2 linked regions of the Pelodiscus sinensis genome follow. The protein of the gene in region 1 purifies or fractionates together with the protein of each later gene. This does not show direct contact. Links are inferred from orthologs where the notes say so. Each region holds a gene or a part of one and is shown on either strand. Other genes may lie near its edges.

The links. Proteins that work in one complex are often made in the same cells at the same time.
Region 2: the proteins of SEC16A (region 1) and SEC23B purify together in Homo sapiens (affinity purification with mass spectrometry; 3 studies listed by BioGRID and IntAct, with this or other methods). This does not show direct contact. The link is inferred for Pelodiscus sinensis from reciprocal best matches to the Homo sapiens genes SEC16A and SEC23B.

The regions. Positions count from the first base shown.
Region 1 is NC_134732.1:20,375,208-20,382,436, forward strand, and holds the start of SEC16A (protein transport protein Sec16A), read left to right. Parts: upstream 1-4,159; 5' UTR 4,160-4,319; intron 4,320-7,229. UniProt on the Homo sapiens protein: Acts as a molecular scaffold that plays a key role in the organization of the endoplasmic reticulum exit sites (ERES), also known as transitional endoplasmic reticulum (tER).
Region 2 is NC_134713.1:193,975,506-193,983,490, forward strand, and holds the start of SEC23B (protein transport protein Sec23B), read left to right. Parts: upstream 1-4,906; 5' UTR 4,907-5,063; intron 5,064-7,985. Other genes in the region: serine hydrolase RBBP9, read right to left, coding at 610-715, 1,821-1,863, 2,787-2,897. UniProt on the Homo sapiens protein: Component of the coat protein complex II (COPII) which promotes the formation of transport vesicles from the endoplasmic reticulum (ER).

The DNA.
Region 1 (7,229 bases):
CCTCCCAAGTCCTGTCGTGCCCTCTCTCTGCTCTATGGAGCAAGGATAGAGAATGGGGTGGGGGCACCTTGACATCAGCACCCCTCCTCCCCCTGCCCTGCCCTGCCCTGCCCTGCCCTGCCCTGCCCAGCAAGCAGGAGGCTCCTAGGGGTAGAGGGAAGCAGCTCCGAGGCAAAGGGCCGAAGATGCGCAGCAGTGGGGGGAAGGGCACCTGAAGTGCAGGCGCTTGATAGCGTCTTGGCCAGACCAGTCAGGATGGCCCGTCAGCAGGGCAGTTAGCCGATCAGAGGAAGCCCAGACGATTGGAGTACAGAACTGCCTCTGCCCCCGCGCTCTGCAGGCCGCCCCACGAGGGTCGCCAGGTGTCCGGTTTTGAACCGGACAGTCCGGTATTTGAGCTTTCTGTCCGGGAAACAAATGAGAAAATAGCGGAGATAGAAATGTCGGGTGTTTTCTAATTCTGTAAGTTCTGTTATCAGGAGTATCAGTACGTAGCTGCGTACTGCCTGGCTGGTCAACACCCTCACACTGCGTGAGCATGTCCACCAGCCAGGCAGTAGAGAGGAGGGGGGCGGAGGCGGGATGGAATCCCCAGGGCCGGACTCGCCCGTGTGCCCCGCCAGGACCATGCGCGGGACGGGCAGCACCCCGGGATCTGTGTGCGCCTGGATCAGCCCTGCTCCCCGCTGGCTGGTTCCTCCTCCCCGCTCCGCCCCAGCCAGCCCCGCTCCCCGCCAGCTGGTTCCCCCCCCGGCCAACCCTACTCCCCCCCCAGCCAGCCCCGCTCCCCCCGACCACTTCCCGACCAGCCCAGCTTCCCGCTGGCCAATTCCTTCCCCCGATCTCCCCCAGCCAACCCCGCTCCCCCCAGCCTCCTCCTGACCAGCCCTGCTTCCCACCAGCCAGTTTCCCCCCCAGCCAGCTCCACTTCCCCCAACCCCCTCCCGGACAGCCCTGCTTCCTGCCAGTCAGTTCCCCCCTGGCCAGCTCCGCTCCCCCCAAACCTCCTCCCAGCCAGCCCTGCTTCCTGCTGGTTGGTCCCCTCTTCCCCCCCCCCCCCCAATCTCACTTGGTCAGCCCCGCTCCCCCCACCCCTCTCGCGGCCAGCCCTGCTCCCCTCCCGGCCAGTCCCCCCATTCTGAGATCATGTGTGTCCGGTATTTTTTTTGAAACCCATCTGGTAACCCTACCTGTCAGAGGTTCCAAGTTCTACCAGTAGATCCCGATCTACTGTTTGGTGACCCCTGCTCCAGAGCCTCTCCCTTTAAATAGGTTGTCCAGAAGGTGGGAAGACTTTGTTTGTTGGCCAGTCTCCTCCTCCCCCACTTTGTGGAAAAATACTAAATCGCTAATGGTCCTTGTGGGGACTCTCCTAGGGGCTGGCTCATAGAAAAAAAACCCATTTCCTTAGCAATGAGCCCTCAAGTTTCTGAAATTCCCTTAATGGCCCCTACTAAGCATGCCTACATCAGTAACACAGGGTACTACTTCCTATTGCTGATTTCCAATATGGGAATAATACATGGACACAAACACAATATACACATTTTGCGGATTATAACTTTTCCAGTGATACCGTGCAATAAGTATTTTGCATAAATCATTTTCCAATTATGCATAATTATATTCGGGGCTTGACAAGCGGCGGCGAGCCCTGCTCGCCAGCTGCACGGTTCGGCACGCTGCGCATGTGCAGACCGTGCTGTGGCGCCGTGCCGGGCTAAAATCTACTCACCACGGGCGAGTAGATTGCCCTAATTGTCGAGCCCTGATTATATTCATAAGCGTATTTCTATAAAGAATATGAACTGCACCATCACAACGCCCACTAAACAAATGGTTCCAGCCACCCTGGGAGATCAGATGGGGCTCGTCTACACTGGCCCCTTTTCCGAAAGGGGCATGCTAATTTCACAGGTCGTAATAGGGAAATCCGCGGGGGATTTAAATATCCCCCGCGGGATTTAAATAAAGATGTCCGTCGCTTTTTTCCGGCTTTTAGAAAAGCCGGAAAAGAGCGTCTACACTGGCCCCGATCCTCCGGAAAAAAAGCCCTTTTCCGGAGGATCTTATTCCTACTTTGAAATAGGAATAAGATCCTCCGGAAAAGGGCTTTTTTTCCGGAGGATCGGGGCCAGTGTAGATGCTCTTTTCCGGCTTTTCTAAAAGCCGGAAAAAAGCGGCGGACATCTTTATTTAAATGCCGCGGGGGATATTTAAATCCCCCGCGGATTTCCCTATTACGACCTGTGAAATTAGCATGCCCCTTTCGGAAAAGGGGCCAGTGTAGACGTAGCCGTGAGGTTTGGAATCACAGAAATCTAGGTGATTTCCCAGATAATGTTCTGCGCACCCTCCAGGGTTAAACAGTGCACGTGGCCACTTGGGTTATGTCTACACAGCAGTGTTATTTCAGAATAACTGACGTCACTAGTAAATAAGAAAGAGCGTGTCTACACGACAAGCCTTTATTTCAAAATAATGTCTTTAGGAAAAACTATTTCACTAGGAGGGTGGTGAAGCACTGTAATGAGTTACCTAGGGAAATAGTGGAGTCTCCATCCCTAGAGGTTTTTAAGTCTCGGCTTGACAAAGTCCTGGCCGGGTTGATTTAGTTGGGATTGGTCCTGCCTAGAGCAGGGGGCTGGACTTGACCTTCTGAGGTCTCTTCCAGTTCTATGGTTCTATGATATGATTCTATGATATGATAGAAGATTTCTTACTCTGACTCGCGGTAACCCTCATTTCACGAGGAGAAAGGAGTGCTCTTCCTTGGACTTCCTGCAATGTAGACAGCGCCTAAAGCTGAGTTGATGTAGCTGAAGTTGCACCGCTTAATTCGACTTTAGCCCTGCTGTGTAGATGTGCCCTTGGAGGGCATGGTCACGCTGCGTCCCTTGGGCAGTGCTTCCTGTAGTGCCTACTTTCCACGACTTCCCCCAGCTGTGCCTGGTGACACCTTGGGGAGATCAGGGAAGTTCTGCAGATCAGGGTTCTGGTCACACAGGTGTAACCCACACACCTACTGGATATGATTCACTGTCCCATGTACTGGCACTGAGACCACTTACAGAGAGAGAATGAGTTTGCTCTCCACAGGGGTGGGCAATAAAATGGCAGCCCAGCGGGCTCTGCCGCTATGTTTATTTGCGCCTCCACAGGTGTTGGGTAATCACAGCTCTTGCTGGGTGCGAATTGCCGTTGGTGGCCAATGGGAGCGGCACGGACCAGGACACCGTTTGCCCCACTTGCATTGGCCGTCAATGGCAATTCGCAGCCAAAAGCTGCAATCCTCCAATACCTGTGGAGGTGCAGGCAAACATAGCGGCAGCGGCCCACCAGGGTCTAACCCTGTGGATCGGATCTGGCTTATGGGGTGTCATTTCTCTATCATGCTCTACAGCCTTAGCTCAGAGCAAGCTGCTGTTATAGTTTAAGCTGCAGAAGCTCCTGCACTAAGCTGCAGAGATCCCAGGTTCGGTTCTGCCCTTTGGTGTTATGTTTACAGTTTAGTCCGTGCTCGCCTCTGCCCAGCTAGCATTGCAGCCAGACATCTTTGTCCCAGGCAGCACCTGGGCTGTCAGTACAGGGGCTGACAGCGCTCCCAGGCCTGCAGGCTTTTGCATGGGCCTGAAGGGAGGACCCCTGAGCCCGTGCAGTGCAGGGGATACTGGAGAGGCAGGCACCCGCTCCCCAGCATCTGCCCCAAAGGCTGTGTTTAATAATGCATTGCCAGTCCAATGCAAGTGAGCAGGCCAGATGCAATGGCAGGGATCCTAGTGCCCCAAGGAGGTAGGGTCTGGGTGGGCAGGCCTGACATACTGCACAGCCCAGCCGGGAATAACAGTTGAATTTTGCTCAGTCTGGCCAGAGCTTCCCCGAAAGCTCCCTGCCGGGGGCTCGAACCTGCCAACCTCAAGTCTCCAGAAGCCCTATTGGTTAGCGTTCCCCACCAATGCGCATGCTCACACTCCTGGCCGTCTTGGGCTGACGGCCGCTCGTGAGAGCCGAATCCTAAAGGGATGGTTAGGTTTTCTGTCCGCCGACGCAGCTGAGTTTACCCACCCCCCCCAACCGACGATCCCTTTAAGCGCCTCAACGAAGAGCGGAAAGGAATGACATGTGTGCGGCGCCGGAGCGTACGTGTTTGCGTCACCGCGTGCGGAGCGTGACACGTCGGCGGCGGTGGCCATTGGAGCCGGATATTCCAAGATGGTGGCGATTGTTGCTGCTGCGGCTCCTGTGAGGGGGGGAGGCGCCTGCTGCTGACCGGGCCTCGCCTGCTGCGCGCGCCCCAGGGGCCCGCCGGGATCCGCCAGGTGAGCGGCGCTTGGGCGGGCACCGGTTGGGGAAGCTCTTGGGGGGGAGAGTCAGAGAACGGGGGGGGCGAGGGAAGCTGGCGGGGACCGAGAGCGGGGGGGCGAGGGAAGCTGGGGGGGAGGGACAGAGAGTGGGGGGGGCGAGGGAAGCTTGGGGGGGAGGGACAGAGAGCGGGGGGGCGAGGGAAGCTGGGGGGGAGGGACAGAGAGCGGGGGGCGAGGGAAGCTGGGGGGGAGGGACAGAGAGTGGGGGGGCGAGGGAAGCTGGGGGGGAGGGACAGAGAGCGGGGGGCGAGGGAAGCTGGGGGGGAGGGACAGAGAGCGGGGGGCGAGGGAAGCTGGGGGGGAGGGACAGAGAGTGGGGGGGGCGAGGGAAGCTTGGGGGGAGGGACAGAGAGCGGGGGGCGAGGGAAGCTGGGGGGGAGGGACAGAGAGCGGGGGGCGAGGGAAGCTTGGGGGGAGGGACAGAGAGCGGGGGGCGAGGGAAGCTGGGGGGGAGGGACAGAGAGTGGGGGGGCGAGGGAAGCTGGGGGGGAGGGACAGAGAGCGGGGGGCGAGGGAAGCTGGGGGGGAGGGACAGAGAGTGGGGGGGGCGAGGGAAGCTGGGGGGGAGGGACAGAGAGTGGGGGGGGCGAGGGAAGCTGGGGGGAGGGACAGAGAGCGGGGGGCGAGGGAAGCTGGGGGGGAGGGACAGAGAGCGGGGGCGAGGGAAGCTGGGGGGGAGGGACAGAGAGCGGGGGGCGCGAGGGAAGCTGGGGGGGAGGGACAGAGAGTGGGGGGGCGAGGGAAGCTGGGGGGAGGGGCAGAGAGGGGGGCGAGGGAAGCTGGGGGGGAGGGGCAGAGAGCGGGGGGGCGAGGGAAGCTGGGGGGAGGGGCAGAGAGCGGGGGGGCGAGGGAAGCTGGGGGGTGGAGAGGAAGTGAAGGTTCGTAGTAGAGTCTAGGTGTGGTTTAGGGGGCCATGGAAAATGGAAGCAGCTTTGGTCTAGGAGATGTAGGGCCATGAAGTGAGGACATTGGGGTTTTAAGGGTGCCGCCTGACTTGTTGAGGCCTCTGGCGTTAAGAGATGCAGATGTTGCATGGGAGAAGTCTGGAAGTAATTTGTTTAGCTATCTTGAGGGGGGCGTATTCTTGGGAATGTGGGTACAGGGGTGCTGGGCTGTGGGTGTAAAATGTGGAGGCAACACCTCACATTGAGAGACAGGAATGCTTTGTGGGTAAGGTGCTACTTTAGGAGACCTTGGGCAAATCACTTAGATGCTCTGCCTCAGTTCTCTACCTGTAAAATAGAGATCTGAGCACTTCCCTATCAAGCAGGGATTTATATGTAAAGATGTTAAAATGCCTTTAACTTTCAGCAGTTACACATTTACACGCAAAGCGGCTACCTAGGAGTCTGTGCTGAGAGGCAACTTTTAAGCCAGCTCTCTGCGAGTGCCAGCTCTCGCTTGCTCTCCATCAGCACGCTGCTGCATCTGATACAGATGCAGCAACACAGAGAGAGGAAGGGAAGACAACTCCACAGGAGTCGGAATCTGTGAGGAAACGTTGCATGCTGGCAATGTGTGTACCGTTTTCTGCCTGCCTCTTTCCCTCCGGTGCTGCAGCCTCTATATCAGCAGTGGCTGGTGGGGCTTGCTTGTAACCATGCATGTTAACCAATAAGCTCAAGCCATTGATTAACCATGTAAATGCTTACACTTTCACATCCTTAGCTAAAGGTTAAATAAGTTAAAGATTGCAAGGCACTTTGGCTACGTCTAGACTACATGCCTCTGGCGACAGAGGCATGTAGATGAGGCTACCAGGCGTAGGAAAATGAAGCGGCGATTTAAATAATCGCCGCTTCATTTAAATTTACATGGCTGCCGTGCTGAGCCGATCAGCTGTTTGTCGGCTCAGCGCGGTAGTCTGGGATGAGGTTTACCTGGGTGGTCGACAAATGCCTTTGATGTCGACACCCGCGCATCCAGACTACCGCGCTGAGCTGACAAACAGCTGATCGGCTCAGCGCGGCAGCCATGTAAATTTAAATGAAGTGGCGATTATTTAAATCGCCGCTTCATTTTCCTATGCCTGGTAGCCTCATCTACACGCCTCTGTCGCCAGAGGCATGTAGTCTAGACGTAGCCTTACTGAGTGATGGGTGTCGAGTCAGTATGCTGTATAGTCATTAGGGGTGGAAGGTCCAGTACAGGGTACTTCAGGGACTGACTGCCTACAATTACTCCAACTTCTCATATATAGTCATATTGGTTCCCATATCATGGTACCCAAACTAGACAATTCTGGTTTTCCTTAGGATGCCTTTGTGTCCTGTAAGCAATAGAAACAGTTGTAGAAAAGGGATTTCTTGGAAATCCTGAAATTGGAATGGGGTCCCTGATATGACATTTCATTATATTGTGACATGGTGAGGCTCAGATGTTACAATGTATAGGTTTATACAGTCAGATGAATTTGCAAAGATGGCAGTTGAAGATTCTGTCCCCCCACCTATTGGATTGTGTTGAGGCAACCCAAGCTCCACAGTAGGTGTTTGTGTGTATAAGTTGCAGGTCTTTCTTGCAGGTAGATGTGGTGAATTAAGGCTATTTTAAAAGTGTCATACAGTGTAAATGCCTTTGTTTTTAAGAAGACATGTAAAGTGATCTCTTGAAAATCCGATTCTTCCTTTTTTCAGACTTTTGCACCTTCTTAGCCCTGTGCATAATTGAATAAGAAACTGTGAGTACCAGCTGATAATGGCTGAGTATTGCCTGAAAAAGTTGAGAACCACTGACCTAATTAACTAGTTACTTCCTTTCCAAACTGGTGGAAAGGTTGATGTTGCTGTTGTCCGAGGGCTGCATATTCAGGTCTATGTTCTTGATCCTAGGAGCATCAGAGCGATATTTGCATCTATGTGCAAG
Region 2 (7,985 bases), on another chromosome or scaffold:
GAAGGGAAGTTCAAAAAAAAAAAAAAAAGTTTTTTTCCCGACATTTGGCTCAGTGTAGACAGGCCAAATGTCAGAAAAGCCTCTTCTGGAAAAAGATACGCAAATTGAGAACTGCAATTTGTGTATCTTTTTCCACTTCTTTTTTTAGAAAGAACTGCATAGTCTAGGCACAGCCAGAGTAACTGATAAAATCTAACAGCAGGGTTTTGCAATGTCCTTTAAGCAAAGATGGGGCAATATTCATGTAAAGGATTTGGAGAGGTTACAGCTACAGGCAAGTCACCCAAGGATTTTCAGGTGCATCACGTAATGCCATAGCACCCCAACTATTACATTAGATTTAGCTGAGGGTATTTTACTGTGGCTTTCCGTTCCCACTGTTAAATGTCTAGTTCTTCAACAGCAGATAAGCCCTCCAGTACCCCACCACATTCTCAATCCCTTACATATGGTGCTAATCTTGTCAGAAGGATTCTACTCACACTGACGGCAGGGGGCAATTTTGCCATTGAGTTCAAGTGGAGCAGCTCTGGGATCATTAGCTGAAATGGTCATGATCCCATTAGACTGCAAAACTGGAAACTCAGTGCCTTACCCCCTGTACTGTACCTCATGGCAGCAGCAGCCCCAGAGCTGTGTCCAATAAGGATAGTCTGCCCATCGCAGTGCAGTTCTGATTCCATGAATGGCAGCCAGATGTTCTCTCGAGCTGTAACTGATTTGCAGAGAAGAGATTCAATTGCTTTGCCTTTCCTTATCCACCCCCCTCCTCCCCACGCCCAGCTAGCATGCTCTGCATACAGCTCTCTGGGGGATTTTCTCTTTATTTAATTCTTAGTGAGTTTAGTGCTTGCAGAAGGGGTAAGGTTAGCAGCTATGAAGACCAAAGGCCTCTGTTTAGCCCCACTATGAGTTAAACATACACTGCAGCTGTGCCAGTTCCAACCTTGCTACCCCACCTAAAGTAACTCCACATGGACCTGGAGATGTCAGGTTTAAGGGTCAGTGTGAGGTTTAACCTTCCAAGGCTCAGTCTTTGGCCTCTCGAAAACCAGTTCTAATGGGGATGGTGTGGTGGACACCAGTCTGCTGCAAACTGAGCCGAGACAGACACTATTTGTCTAGAACTACTGGCAGCAGTAGCAACCTGGAGTGTGGCCTTCATAAATACTTCCCTGCTAAGCTACCCAGCTCATCCAGGGCCTGGTACAATCTCTGGGGCTTGCAGGACGCAGTCAAGCATGTACTGTCTGCACACGAGCAATGTTCTGCATCACAGTATGTGCACATAAAACATTCAGGAGCATCCAAACCCTCTCCCCAGCAAAGCATTTCAGCAGGCTGTGCGTCTCCCAGGGCACATCTACACAGCAGGCCTTAACTCAGAATAACCTACGCAAATTAAGCCACGTCAACTGCGTAGCTTATTTCAAAATAGCTTATTTCAAAATAGAGAGGATTTACACAGCGCTTATTTCAAAATAGAGCACTCTTCCTTTTGACTTCCCTAACTCCTTATACAATGAGGGTTACAGGAGTTGGAGTAAGAAGTCTTCCAGCTTTACAGTATTTTGAAATTATTTCGAAATAACTACCTGCTGTGTAGATGCGGACTAATTAAGTTATTTTAGTCCGTGTCTACGCAGCAGACAGTTATTTTGAAATAATGTTGCAGTGCAAACATATCCCATTTGGATTGGGGTGCGGGAACTCCCCCGGAATGAAGACAGCCACTGAGATAAAGCAGGCTCATATTCGTTTTCTGGAAATATTGCCAGTGGGATAATGCAAAATACAGGGAGAAGGTAAAACAGACTTACCTGGGTCAGGCATATTTCGAAGTAAACACTGGAAACCAGGTATCTGTGTGGAGAAGACCAATGATTGCATTATCAAAGGTTGTGCAGTCCCTTGGCAAGCAAACTGTTGCAGTGGTTACACTTGCTTTCCTCCAATGGGTCTTCAGGGTTATGTAGATGGGTCTTGCTACAGTGTTAGGTTGAAAGGTTAAATATTTGGGGTGCACTGGGCAGGGGGGAGGGAGTGAGTCCCAGGCACATGGAGAAGATTGAGGGTTTACTTGGTGCTTTGAAAATGTAAAGCACTGCAACTATATTGCACCAGGAGTTGAAAAAGACTGCTGATTTTACAAATATTTCTTGTTTGAATTACCAGCAATCTCTCCCACCCACTCCCAGGGGTCACCAATCACTGCACTCTAGTGTTTGCAAATCAGTCATCCCCTATTTCTGTGTTTTCTCCTCCATGTGATGTCCAGTGGCTGAACTTCATAACAGAAATACCCAAGTGGGAGTATAGAAAACCAAGTGAGAGTCTCTACAGAAAGCACTATCCACTGCAGCCTTCTTCATGCACCCTTCAAATCAGTGCTAGAGAGCTGTGAACAAGCCAGGAGGAGGAGGGGAGAATGTCGCATGACAAAGACAAGAATCACGGAAAAAGTTGCTTACATCTAATGCTGAACAAGCTTTCTTAGCACAAGAAAAACAAGAGTCTCCCTAAAGAGGCTCCCCCTCTCTGCTTCACTGCAGATGTTCTGGCAGGACCCTTCCGCAGCCCCCTCCTGCTTGCCAGCTGTGGATTTAAAGAAAGGGAAGGTATATGCTAAACCACACAAGAGGGAAGCAGAGGTTGGGGGCAGACAACTTCATTAGAAAAAGAAGCCAGGTGCCTGCCTGACTTAGGGTGTTCCAAATAGCTGGTGAGGTAGGCAGGAGCGTAAATAAACAGGTCAGATCAAACCTTTTGCCACTGCCATGTCTTACCTGCCCTAGTCTTTTCCATGCCCATCCGTACCAGTTGCATTTCTCTACATTGCTTGCCCCATTCCCAGGCACTATAACAGCTTTCATGGGAGGAAGCTGCACCTGGGACATGGCTCTGCAGCAGGAGGAGCGGAAACACAGTTTCAAGCCAAGCGGTGTTGGGTTGGCTGGGAGTGGAGGCAGAAAGGAGGCATCTTGGGAGTTGTAGTTTTCTTGGTAGAAAATGTCTCAGTGGGTAGCTGTGTTAGTCGGTAACGTTAAAAACAACAAGTAGTGCTGTGGCACCCTAGATCAGTGGTCCCCAATGTGGTGCCCGTGGGCACCATGGCGCCTGCTGGGCCATTTATGTGCTCCCGCTAAACAATTTGGGCTGGCCCCGCCCCGGGCACATGGCACATGTGCTGTGCCGGCCCCGGGCGCGTGGCGCATGGGTGGCCCCTGTCCCGGGGCCACGGCACATGTCGGTGCCGGCCCCGGGCTCGCAGTGCATGTGCGGCCCCGCCCCAGGGTGCACTGCCTGTGCATGGCCCCGCCCCCGGGCGCCCGGCAGCCCCAAAAGGTTGGGGACCACTGTCCTAGAGACTAACAAGAATGTAGTATCCTGAGCTTTGGTGGGCGAAACCCACTTCTTAAGATGATGATAGGAAATGATTCACAGCATGGTCCTTGCTGTCATTTGTTCCTCTCTGAGTCTAGAAGCCCCCAAAAAACAAGTGAATAAGAGACAAAAGCAACACATCCGAGACCTGAAAATCACAATACAAGCTAGATAGCGTCTTACCCACTACTTGTTAATTCTGTTGGCAGTGTTGTAGCCATGTTAGTCCCGGGATATTAAAGAAATAAGGTGCTGAGGTAACATCTTTCATTGCAACAACCTCTGTTGGGCAGAGAGACAAACTTTCAAGATCTACAGAGCTTTTCTTCCTGTTCATTTTGCTATTGGCATCTTTTTGTTGGGTGTTTGTACAGTGTCTAGCACTAGGTCCTGGTCAGTGATTGGGGCTCCACAGACAGGAACACAATGCAAATTACTATTAACTGTTACTTTGAGTAGATAATATTATCATGAGGGCCCTGAGACTAGAGGAACTTTGCATCCCCTGCTGCTTATTAGGGGGAAGAGATCTGTGCCCCTGCCTGCCCCCTTATGCACACCTCATCCAGCTGTGAGTTTTATCAGTTCTTAGCTAATGGAGAACACCTTATCAAGAGATGGCATCTGGTTTTACCAGCCTTAGCCTTTCATACACAAACAATAGGGGTGTTATTTAATGGCTGCGCAGCCGATTAACTATTTATCTCTAAGACAGTGAAAAATTCCCCTCGTCCATCAAGTCTTGAGTCTTCAAAACTGGATTCATCTTCTACTGACACTAGATGTGAGCTTGGCCCTTGGTCTTCCCGCAAACACCTACCATCACTGCGTGTGTTTTGTTGAATCTCACTTCTCCATCGTTTCATAGCCACCTCTGTCATGCTCCAAGCATCTATTGACGTGGTGGCCGAATATTTATTCCACCCCTCAGGTTTCCCATTTCTCTGCGTTCGTGGGTTTGTGCTGACTCTTTTTGGGGGCACCCCGGGGCCGCGTGGGCCCCCTGATCAGTGTGAGGACCTAGGAGCGGTTTGTGCGGTGCCAATGTGGATGCCCTGTGAGGATGCTTTGTTACAAGGCCTGGGGGACGCACGCTTTGATGCCAGACAAGGGCCTTTGAAGGTGCCGCTTGTTTTAACAGCGCCCGGCAAAGGAGGCGCGTCCCAGGACTGAGGTGCCTGTTGTGTGACTGCACTCTGGGGGGAGGCTGGTGTGTGTGTGCTGGGGGCGGGGAGGTGTGCACTGTTGCCAGGTGTTCCCCCCCCCTCAGGGAGCACAGGGCAGCTCCACCCCCACGCCCCTGCAGCCTCCTAGCAGGGCTGGCTGGAGGGCGGGGCCTGTCTGCATCAGCTGCCAGCGCCCGTGGAAGGGCGAGTCAGCGCAAACCCCGCAAGGGGCGGGGCGTGGAGCCCGCCCGCCATCGTGGCTGAGGGCGGAAGCCCGTATGGAGGCGCGGGTGCCCTTAGCCATCATGGCGACCGCCCTTGGGCGCCTGGGTGCCGCGCGCAGGCGCCGCCATGTTGGGGAAGGGCACGGTCGCGGCCGAGGCGCCCGCGCCGCCATCTCGCTTGCGGGCAGCCCCGCCGCTGAGCTGGCCTTTCCGGCGCGGGCGCTGCCGGGACACGGATCGTCGGGCGCTGCGAAGCGGAGCCGGAGGGGGCTTGTGGCGCCGCCAGCAGGTGGGTCTGGCGGGCGGGGTCCCCCGGGCCAGAAGGGGGGGGTCTGCCAGTGGGGGATGAGGGGGGGGGGTCTCTGGCCAGAAGGGGGGGTCTCTGGCCAGAAGGGGGGGTCTGCCAGTGGGGGATGAGGGGGGGGTCTCTCTGGCCAGAAGGGGGGGTCTGCCAGTGGGGGATGAGCTGAGGGGGGGGTCCCCCTGGCCAGAAGAGGGGGGTGTCTGCCAGTGGGGGATGAGGTGGGGGGGTCTCTCTGGCCAGAAGGGGGGGTCTGCCAGTGGGGGATGAGGGGGGGTCCCCCTGGCCAGAAGAGGGGGTTTGCCAGTGGGGGATGAGGGGGGGTCCCCCTGGCCAGAAGGGGGGGGTCTGCCAGTGGGGGATGAGGGGGGGGTCCCCCTGGCCAGAAGAGGGGGTCTGCCAGTGGGGGATGAGGGGGGGTCCCCCTGGCCAGAAGGGGGGGGGTGTCTGCCAGTGGGGGATGGGGGGGTCCCCCTGGCCAGAAGAAGGGGGGTCTGCCAGTGGGGGATGAGCTGAGGGGGGGGTCCCCCTGGCCAGAAGGGGGGGGTCTGCCAGTGGGGGATGAGGTGGGGGGGTCCCCCTGGCCAGAAGAAGTGGGGGATGAGCTGAGGGGGGGGGGTCTCTCTGGCCAGAAGGGGGGGTCTGCCAGTGGGGGATGAGCTGAGGGGGGGGGTGTCTCTGGCCAGAAGGGGGGGTCTGCCAGTGGGGGATGAGCTGAGGGGGGTCCCCCTGGCCAGAAGGGGGAGTCCGTCGGGGGGATGGGGTGAGGGGATCTCCTGGTGAGAAGAGGGGCTCCTCCCCATTGAAGGTGGGGGTCACTTTCCCCAGGCCACACGAGGAGGGGAAAGGACCCTGCTGTTGATGTCGGGGTGCTCTTCTCCAGGGTCTGTAGCCGAGCGGGGCCGCTACCTGTCCAGGTTCCCCAGTGTTGTCTGGTTTTGGGGGTCACTGTCCTGGGAGTCTCTCTGGGTGTTTGGTGGGCGCTGCCAGCTGCCCAGCGTGGTGAGGAAAGATCATCCTGAATATTGTGGGGGTTTTGTATCTCGAAGGATGTGGCAACCTGAGCGCTCAGAGAATGGGGTGAGGATTCCCCAGGCCACTGTTCTGGGCAGTGAAAGAGGGACGAGGACCCCCCCCATCACTGATTCCTCCATTCTGGGTGGGGTTGGTGTGTGAGGCCACCATGTTGCTATTGGAGGGGGTGGAGGAGTTTGGCATTGGTGTGAGGGTTCCCATATCACTGGTCAAAGTGTGGAGCGGTGTTATATTTTTTGTGTAGTTTTTTTGGTAAATCTTGACTCGCTTTCACAGAGGAAACAGCTACAATTTCTCCTTTTTTAAAAACTGTTTGCCCTGATCATCTCGCTCTCAAGGTAACACCTACAGCCTAACAAACATCACAGAAATGTTCTGAGAACATCTCGGATACAGGCCACATTTAAAACTAAAGTGGCAAGGCGTTCCTTCACTAAACCAGGATAAGCTAACTGTTACGTCAGGAGTAGCCAATTCTGTCAGGTCCTGTTTTGCGATGCTTCCCGTTTGACTCACAGGCTCTGCTCTGCACAGAAACCCTGAGGAAGGAGAGTATCGAGGGAGGATGTGGGAGGGAGCTCTGAACCTGAGGGATGGGGGTTTGAGCAATGAGTGCTGTTTAGTGGGTTTGAGGATGTCCATGCATGCTGTAGGTGCCGCACCAGATAACAATATCAGTTAGTGTTTGCAGCCTATGTTGCGGACAAGTTCAAACAGCTCTGGACAGGGGTGCTGGCACAATTTCTATAGGGTCCTTTGAACCAAACTGTAAATCCTGAATATAATGGAAACTGCTTCAAGTCAGCAGCACCAGCGTCTATGGCTCTGGACCAAACTTTCTGCCTCAGCAAAAGCCGAATTAGTTCTCAGGAGAAAGGGGGGCATGCAAATGTGTCTTTGTCTCTCTCTGTCTCTGGAATTTAGTCCTGGAAGCTTCTTAGAGTTGTGAAGATGTGGGAGTAGCACAGACAAATCACTGTAGATCAGATCTATTTCTTTGCCAACTGGACACAACCATTGGGGTGGGTTATGGACCGTGTTGAGAGCTAATTGTAAATGTTTCCTTTCTGTGGGACACAGTGCTAGTTTTGCATAAAAAAGCATCTGCTGCTCCGCCCTCAACTCAAAAAGACACCTGATGCTGACTATTTCTTACATATCTTTCTCCTATGTCTGATGAAGTGGGTTATGCCCTAATCAATATGTTAGTCTCTAAGATGCCACAGGATTCCTCATTGTGTCTTACATGGTTAACGCTCTGAGGAAGAGTGTCTATAGCAGTGGTTTTCATTTGCAGAACCCTAAAAAATGTCAAGTGGATATGGACCCCTTTGGAAACTCATAATCTGCAAAACCCTAGGAGTCTGTGTTGACAGGTTGAAAACCACTGAAATAGAGGATAGTCATGAAACAGTAGCAGTACGTGCGTTCTTCAGTCTCTTTGACCTCCATCAGGTCTGTTTTGCATTGGGTGTAACATAGAAACTGCATTAGTGGTCTTGGTTGATTGTCTCCTGTTGGTGGATAGTGATTAAGTCAAATTCTTTTTGCTCTCTAACTATCCTCAATGCCATTGACAAATCACGTGAACATGGATTCTAACAGAGACTGATATGGTCTTGCCTTGAGCACTTCTGTGTTTTCTTTTCTGAGAGGTCTCAAGGATTTTGGGTAGTTTGTGTCCCGAATATGATCTCGTGTGGGGTTCCCAGGGTTTCATCTTGTCATGTCTGGTTCAGTGTGTATGTGGTGCTGCTACAGCAGCGAGGGGCAACCTAGGCTCATGAGTGACCCTCCTTCATCTCTGAGGGCTGCAGGATTGTTGTAACCAAAATGGTTTCCCGGGATAGGGTAGTTTTGCTAACTGCACTTACC